Xenopus tropicalis: one gene and its partner. The protein of the gene in region 2 purifies or fractionates together with the protein of the main gene of each other region. This does not show direct contact. Links are inferred from orthologs where the notes say so. Each region holds a gene or a part of one and is shown on either strand. Other genes may lie near its edges.

Evidence for each region.
Region 1: the proteins of tgoln2 (region 2) and galnt2 purify together in Homo sapiens (affinity purification with mass spectrometry; 3 studies listed by BioGRID and IntAct, counting the BioPlex papers as one, with this or other methods). This does not show direct contact. The link is inferred for Xenopus tropicalis from reciprocal best matches to the Homo sapiens genes TGOLN2 and GALNT2.

Annotation. Positions count from the first base shown.
Region 1 is NC_030681.2:52,911,907-52,915,728, forward strand, and holds part of galnt2 (polypeptide N-acetylgalactosaminyltransferase 2), read right to left. Parts: intron 2,901-3,822; coding exon 2,802-2,900; intron 2,268-2,801; coding exon 2,200-2,267; intron 1,089-2,199; coding exon 1,023-1,088; intron 1-1,022. UniProt on the Homo sapiens protein: Catalyzes the initial reaction in O-linked oligosaccharide biosynthesis, the transfer of an N-acetyl-D-galactosamine residue to a serine or threonine residue on the protein receptor.
Region 2 is NC_030679.2:126,816,486-126,820,985, reverse strand, and holds the start of tgoln2 (trans-Golgi network integral membrane protein 2), read right to left. Parts: upstream 2,904-4,500; 5' UTR 2,865-2,903; coding exon 2,795-2,864; intron 1-2,794. UniProt on the Homo sapiens protein: May be involved in regulating membrane traffic to and from trans-Golgi network.

The DNA of each region.
Region 1 (3,822 bases), on a different chromosome or scaffold from region 2:
CTGTTATATGCTACACAGGCCCAGAAACAAACCTTTGCTCTGTTTTGTTTCTGCACCTACAGACACGGAAGGGGTGGCCAAGCTGAACCAGTGCCCTAGGCAACCTGACAAGCCAACCCACCTACCGCCTCTGCATGAATGAACATGTGTGATGACATCATGGGGGGAGCAATCCCCAATTTTCACACATATATGACTTCTTTATCACCTCTTGTGAACCAGTCCTCCTCCCTGTCCAGAATCCTTCAGTTGTGTACCTACAGTTAGAGGAAAAAGGGCACATGTTTGAAGGACGTATGTCCTTTTTCCTATAGATGTAGGTACACTGCTGAGTCCTGACTAGAGGAGCTGGCTCAACTGTTGTTTGGTTTCTCCCACATACAAGTCAGAACACTCCTTGCTGCACGGCACACACAATGTTACTTTTCTTATGCTTTGGTCTTTTGGGTGAACCAGTTGCTGCCGGGATGCAGTGTTTATTAAAAATACTTCTAAGCTATGTTTCAGAGCACAGGGTTTTGCAGGACATGCCTTGCATGGAACAATTCCTACATTAGGCAGTGCTCCATTCAATAGAGGCCTACATGCCTTCCCCCGCCCCTAACTTGCACATCATTTGCATGCACAACTTAGGGAGCAGAAGGAGGGGCAGCTTGCTCCAGGTCCCCTCTCCTTACCACCTGTGCAGAGAGCAGTGCTGGTGCTACTCTTTGCAGAGTGCTGGATTTGTGATCTGGTGCCCCACAAAGAGAGCCCCCCACCCCGTGGTTGACACCTAAAAATAAAATATACAAGCACTTTAGCTGTGCAACTGAGTTTACATGGGTGATAAGCGGTTTGCATAAGCTATGACAATGTCTTCCACCTAAGAGAAGGGATTCCAACCTATTGATCCAGCCAGTACTATAATGGCAGTGCCTGACCAACAGGTAAGTAGTAAAGAGATCTCAGCTTGTAAATGCAACAAATTTTAAACATTTTTTTCTTTAGTTACTTCTAAACAAAGTTACTATTATACTGACCTTCTCGTCGATCATTTCTAAGTACACGTACTTTTTCAATCCTTTCAAGCAGAGCCCCATCTTCAGCTGTAAAACACGGAGACAATTTTTAAGTATTTATGTAAATTACATGAATCAGTTATAACTGGGTGTCCATGCAAAAAATAAAAAGATAAGTAGAAACATTTCTACAGTTATTAAAGTAAAAAAATTGGCTTATTTAACCAATGTTTTGGCTCCATCCACACAAGTGAGACGTAAACCCAGTTTTTACCAGCACTATTCTTTTTCACTGAATCCTGAAAACAGTTTTTAAGTGCATTAAAAACATATTTTGAGGACAGCCTTTCATATTTAAAGACATTTTGCTCTTCAGTGAAATTCAAACAGAATTATCATAACTCTATATAAATTATTATTATTATTATTTTATTATTAACATTTATTTATAAAGCACCAACATATTCTGCAGCACTGTACAGTAAGTGGGTTTCATACTTTGGATATACAGAGTAACATATAAAGCAATCAATAACCGACACAAGAGGTGAAGAGAGCCCTGCCCAATAGAGCTTACAATCTACAAGGAGAAAGGGTTGTGACACATGGTGTGGGAATGGGCATGACCAGAGTTGTGAGAGGTGTGGCACAGGGTATTGCTTTTAGCAGCACACTGAGGTTATGTTAAACTAGATTAGGGTAAGCTTCTCTAAATAAATGCGTTTTTAGAAATCTCTTGAAGGCAGAGAGATTAGGAGAAAGTCTGACAGATTGCGGGAGCGAATTCCAGAGAAGAGGGGCAGCCCTTGCAAAGTCTTGAATGCGAGTGTGTGAGGAGGGAATGAGAGATTGAGAGTTGAGATGAGAGTTGAGGAGCAGGTCAGTAGAGGAGCGTAACAAGCGGGTTGGATGGTACCTAGAGATAAGTTCAGAGATGTAGGGTGGGGCAGAGTTATGAACTGCTTTGAATGTGAGAGTCATTAGTTTGAATTTTATCCTGAATGGTAAGGGAAGCCAGTGCAGGGATTGGCAGAGTGGCACGGCAGAGGAGGAGCGGTTGGAGAGGTGTATGAGCCTGACATCAGTATTCATTATGGACTGGAGAGGGGACAGTCTTTGGGGGGGAAGGCCAATTAATAGGGAGTTACAGTAGTCCAGGCGAGATATTATAAGAGAGTGAATAAGCAATTAAACTCACCACTATCACTGTAGTCATCAACCAGAATAATTTCCTTGACAAGGTGCACTGGGCTTTTTTTTAATACACTGAAAAAAAATAAAGATATTAGTTAGTGGGTCCCTCTTTCTTACACAAACTGTACTGTCCATGTGTCGGTCACAAAGGGGTGAGGGCCTATGAATTTTTTTTGCAAGGTAAGAAAATGCCATGTGTGCCATTAGAATGCAGTGGTATTGTTATCATTTCACATTATTTTCTTAAGTTTTTTTTTTTTTTTTTTTTTAAATATCATTAAAAAATATCATACCAATTTATGTGCCCAAGTAATGCTCCGAACTTCAGGAATGGAAATGTTGACCCAGCTTACATTTGGGATTACTGGTTTGTGTTATGAACATTTTCTATGATCTCTGTTAACCAGTTTAACTATACCTTGAAATGGATATTAAAAATACCCAACTCAAAAAAAAAAAAAAGACTGCAGTACATTTTTAATTTGAATAAAAAATATTAGATATGCTCTATCCTGCAATGAATCATTGCCCAAGTAAAAAAATATAACACCATCTGGAAAATTATTATGGACACCATTGGACATAAATTAACTATAAACATCCTACCTGATTACTGTGCGGAGTAAGGCAGACCTGGCTTCATTATGAAATGTGATAACAACACTGGTTGCTGGTAAATCAACTCTCCACGTTTTTTTCCGACATCTTCAAAAGAAAAAGAATTCCATGCATCAATATGAATAATGACCTGTAGGGACCCATAGGGTTAAATGGCCCCTATGGCTTTAAATCCCTACAGGTTCAGTTCCCTTAGCTGCTGGGCAGAAGGGAATGTATCTAAGTAAGTTCATTAAAATATGCGTGCTATTGGTTAGAAGGTATGGTGACCACATCCTGCCTCACTTTGGTATAGTGCTGGGAGAGGAGTGGCACTTTTCCTGTTCGCTTCCACCTGAGGAACAGGGTGGATGTGTGCTGTGAGCCCAGGGCATAGGCTCATGCTCAGTGAAGTCAGGGAACAGGGCCCCGTGAGTGAGGCATTAGATAGTGGCAGGTGTAGCTCCTTTTATAGTACACTCTAGGGGACAGATTTATCAAAACACAAGTTCGAATCCCAAATGGGAAAAATTCGGAAATTTCTGAAGATTGCAAATATCACGAAAATGCTTACGAAAAAATTGTATTAGTCACGATAATATCGTATTGGTGATTGAAATTTTCCTACCGAACCACTGTAAACAGCGGCAGAGCCTTTTCGATTTTTTTGCGCGGGTGCTCAAAAAAATTGCGAGACAAAAACTGCGAGAATACGCTCGGAGCTTTCGCATGAACGCTCAGAGCGTTCGGGTCTTGGTAAATCTCCCCCCAAGAGTGTAAGGCAGTTAGGGTTGAGCTAGAATGAGCTACTGCTCCTGAGCTCCTGCATAGGACTTGCAGTTTTGGAGATATCTCTCCCAGGCCACATTGCCTGTAGTGTAGGGATCCAAGTGAATAGGGAATCAGGGTAGAGAATTCCCTGAGGGACCCACTACGGGGTGTGTCACAGAGGTGAAGTGAGATTCCTGCCAAGTCTGTCCGAAGGGGAGTGTCAGTCTGTATTACCCTCTGTATGTGCTGCCTGTACCAC
Region 2 (4,500 bases):
TCAGTATTGTCTATGGCAGGGTATTTCTGGAGTTTAGTAGCCGTGACAAGTAGCTGCTATTAAGTTGCTCTGTGTGTCTTCACCCTAAACAGTGACTGTCTTTGTGGATTCTGGCAAAGAAGCTGCTGTAAGATGCCAGATTGCCACTCTGAGGCTGAATTGGGCCAAGTAACTAACAAGTAGATGCTAGCTTCTAGTGGGGAAATGGCATCTGTGATTGCGACATTAGCCCGAGAGTCATACCAATTTCCTTATTTTTACATAGCGGTTATAGAAAAAAAAAATAATCAATAAGAAACCTTCCAGACAATGATGTGCTAATCCTTATGCCTAACAAAGGCTGCAGCTGGGGTAAATCTGTTTATATAGAGAGGGTGTGATTCTCAGTGGACTGGTTGTTTGTTTTCACTGTATCCTTAGAACCAGGAAGTAGAATTTGGCTTTACTTTCAGTTTCAGCCCTTTTAGAGCTTGAGATAAAAAAAACATCTAATTAAAAGGAAAATAGAATGTTCAATACCAACAGATTCACTGCAATAAAGTGGAAAGGGGGTATAGTGCCCTATTTGCTGCCTGTTTTCCTGAGTAGCGTGGTGGGCCCCAGGGGGTTAAAACACCATTCTCTAGGTGCCATGTTTTAACCATGACATTGCTATTAAGGTTCAGATGTGCCTCTGCTAAGGCGATTAAAGGGGACCTGTCACACTAAGAAATAATTCCAAATCATTTTCTATCATGTTAGTTGAGCAAAATAAACTTTACTTACACTATATAATTTTTTTTCCCTTCAGTCTTGGAATTTACAGTCACGGCAAGCAGAAAGCCGCCATTTTATGAACACTGTTATTAAAGGAACAGTAACACCAAAAAATGAAAGAGCTTTAGAGTAATAAAAATATAATGCACTGTTGCCCTGCACTGGTAAAACTGGTATGTTTGCTACAGTAACACTACTATAATTTATATAATAAGCTGCTGTGTAGCCATGGGGGCAGCCATTCAAGCTGTAGAAAAGGCACAGGCACATAGCAGATAACAGATAAAACACTATTGTATTCTACAGAACTTATCCGTTATCTGCTATGTGCCTGTGCCTTTTCTCCTTTGAATGGCTGACCCCATGGCTACACAGCAGCTTTTTATATAAACTATAGTAGTGTTACTGTAGCAAACACACCAGTTTTACTGATAATTGCTGAGTTGACCATTTCTAACAAGACATACTGGAATTGCTTATTAAAGGAACAGTAACACCAAAAAATAAAAGAGCTTTAAAGTAATAAAAATATAATGCACTGTTTCCCTGCGCTGGTAAAATTAGTGTGTTTGCTACAGTAACACTACTATAATTTATATAATAAGCTGCTGTGTAGCCACGGGGGCAGCCATTCAAGCTGGAAAAAAGGAGAAAAGGCACAGGTTACATAGCAGATAACAGATCAGTTCTGTAGAATACAATAGTGTTTTATCTGTTATCTGCTATGTGCCTGTGCCTTTTCTCCTTTGAATGGCTGCCCCCATGGCTACATAGCAGCTTATTTATATAAATTATAGTAGACTTTCTGAAGCAAACACACAACTTTTACCAGTGCAGGGCAGCAGCACATTATATTTTAGTTACTTTTATACACTTTCATTTTTTGGTGTTACTGTTCCTTTAAAGGAACAGTAACACCAAAAAATGTATATATTTCAAAGAAATTAAACTATAATGTACTGCTGCCTTGCACTGGTAAAAGTTTTGTGTTTGCTTCAGAAACACTACTAAAGTTTATATAAACCCTGGTGTGTAGCCATGGGGGCAGCCATTCAAAAGAAGAAAAGGCACAGGTTATATAGCAGATAACAGATAAACCCTGTAGAATACAATGGTGTCTTATCTGTTATCTGCTATGTAACCTGTGCCTTTTCTCCTTTTTTCCAGCTTGAATGGCTGCCCCCATGGCTACACAGCAGCGTATTTATATAAACTATAGTAGTGTTCCTGAAACAAACACCCCAGTTGTACCAGTGCAGGGCCACAGTACATTATATTTCAATTACTTTAAAACACTTTTTTGGTGTTACTGTTCCTTTAAGGCAAGCTTTGTTTCACCCCAAAATCTGCCATCTAGGTGATATCTAGGAAGTGCTGAATGGAAAGTTAAAGTAATTGTAATTAAAAATCTGAGCTGTTAATCATATATTGCCTGCCCCGCCTCTATGCCGGAGGCATAGAGGCGGGGCAGGCAATATATGATTGACAGCTCAGATTTTTAAGTCTATTTATAACAGGTATGGATGATTTAATTAAAAAATTTGGGTTACATGCTTAATTTCTGAAGGACTTTTATTACATATCTTTTTATATGTGCTTCACCTCTTGTATCAGTTATTGATTGCTTGATTATTAATAATAATAATGTGGGTGACAGGCACCTTTACTGTGCCATTAAGGCATAACCTCTCATTGCTGTGAGCCAAGGTTGTGTAAAACCAGTTTATAGTTCTATGAGATACCATTAATTGGTAAAGGAAGTGCCAGTTAGAATACAGGTGCCATTAGCAAACACATAAGAGAAAAGAGAATGAGCACAAGGGAAACCCCACACAACCTATTTCATTCCCACAATAACAAGAAGCCCGAATGCTGTGAGAGTGTATCTAGGCCGGGAGCCAATGACGATAGTGACAGAGACTGGTGGGCGGAAGGCGGAAGGTACACGCATCAGTCCCATAAAGCTTTGCCTTGAGGCATCTAAACCCACCCAAAACCAGCAGGTAAAACCCCACAGCTGAAGCCTAAAGCATCTCACCTTCGCCATTATCCGCAGCGCTCAGCGAAACAAGGAGCAGAAGCAACAACCAAGACGCCTTAGTCGCCATCGTTACAGGAAATAAGTGAGATAAAAAAAAAATAGGTATTTCCGCTTTCCTGTATCCGCGCCGCCATCTTTCTACACCTTGAATGAAGTCAGTGCTACGGATGTATCGCCGGCGTTTGAATGTTCGACGGTGAGTGTACTAATATGGCCGGCCTTGGCATGATTTGGAACTGCTCATGTTATTGCTGCTGCTGCTGCTGCTGCTGCTGCTATTACACCTAGTCATGCATAACTATGGCAATTATGTAAAAAACCTATTCTTGGCTAATATATATAACTTTCACTAAATGAGATATATACCTTATAGATGTATTTGAAGATTTAATTTCTCTGTGACGGAGTGGACACTTATTTACAAGGCCTGGGCACAGGTATAGGGATCAGTTTGGGTGATGTTGGATTAGTGACCCGCTTGACAACTTTTGAGTTTGGTAACCTTAGTCCCTCCATTTCCCAGTGTAGCCCACTTTAGTTGGCAGTGCTGCTACTTGCTATTACTTTGGCGCTACAGGAAGGGCCAGAACTAGGGGTAGGCAGAAGAGGCAGCTGCCTAGGGCGCAACGATTGAGGGGCGCCAGGCAGGAGCCTCTCCTGCCTACCCCTAGTGCTACTTTGTCATTGCCTCTGCCGCTTGTCATTAGCGGCGGAGGCAATGACCGATCTAATCGTCCCCCCCCCTGCACTGCCTCCTGTGCTTTGGCATGCGCATGCGCGGGGAGGTGGGCTGAGTTGGCCGACCGGGTTGCCTAGGGTGCCGGTCGGCTTGGCCGCCCCTGGCTATAGGAGTCCTGAGCCCCGCTTACTATGGGGGACAGGTGCTGTACAGTTCAATGGTGGGCCTCCACCCAGGGGTGATACTGTGAGACCATAACTCACAACCCTGGGAACTTGATATTGTACGTTAATCCTTGACTGGGACTCCACACAACTCCCTGCACCTTGCCCCTCCCTTGGGGTATTTGCTTACCGGCCAGTAGGTGATCCCTTGATAGGAAAGAGACAGACACAAGTGGGTATAGTGAACGAGATGAATCTCTTTATTCAGGGCAGACCTCTCCAGGAGTGGAACACATTCATCAGGGCACTGTCTCCTTAACTTCAGTCTTAGAGAACCTCTCTCCTGTTGGGTTACCCACGGTACTCCCACCAAGTGATCCTACCTAGGACCACCTTTAGGTGTCTAACTCAAAAAATCCAACCTCTAGTGCCTAACGGGAACCCATCTAAGGGGCTCAAGTCTGGGGATCCCTACACCAGTATTCAATTAATATTTGAAGACTACTAAGATTGGAGATAAATATTACTGGTGATGTTGCCAGTAGCAACCAATCAGATCTTGCTCTTGATTTCTGACTTTTAGGTGACAGTTCAAATCTAAATGCTGATTTATTGCTATGGGCAACATCACTAGTGATATTTATCTCCAATCTTAGTACACATGACCCTAAGGGGTATAAGTTGCTCATAGCAGCCAATCAGATGCTTTGCTTTGGTTTTCTAACTGTTGAAATGTAATTGCTGATTGGTTGCCCTGGGCAACATCGCTGGTAACGCTGTACACTGCTTTTTACACAGCATGATAAATATAGTTTGTAGTTCATGACAGGGTCACAGATTGCCTAAGGCTGAGGTTAAAA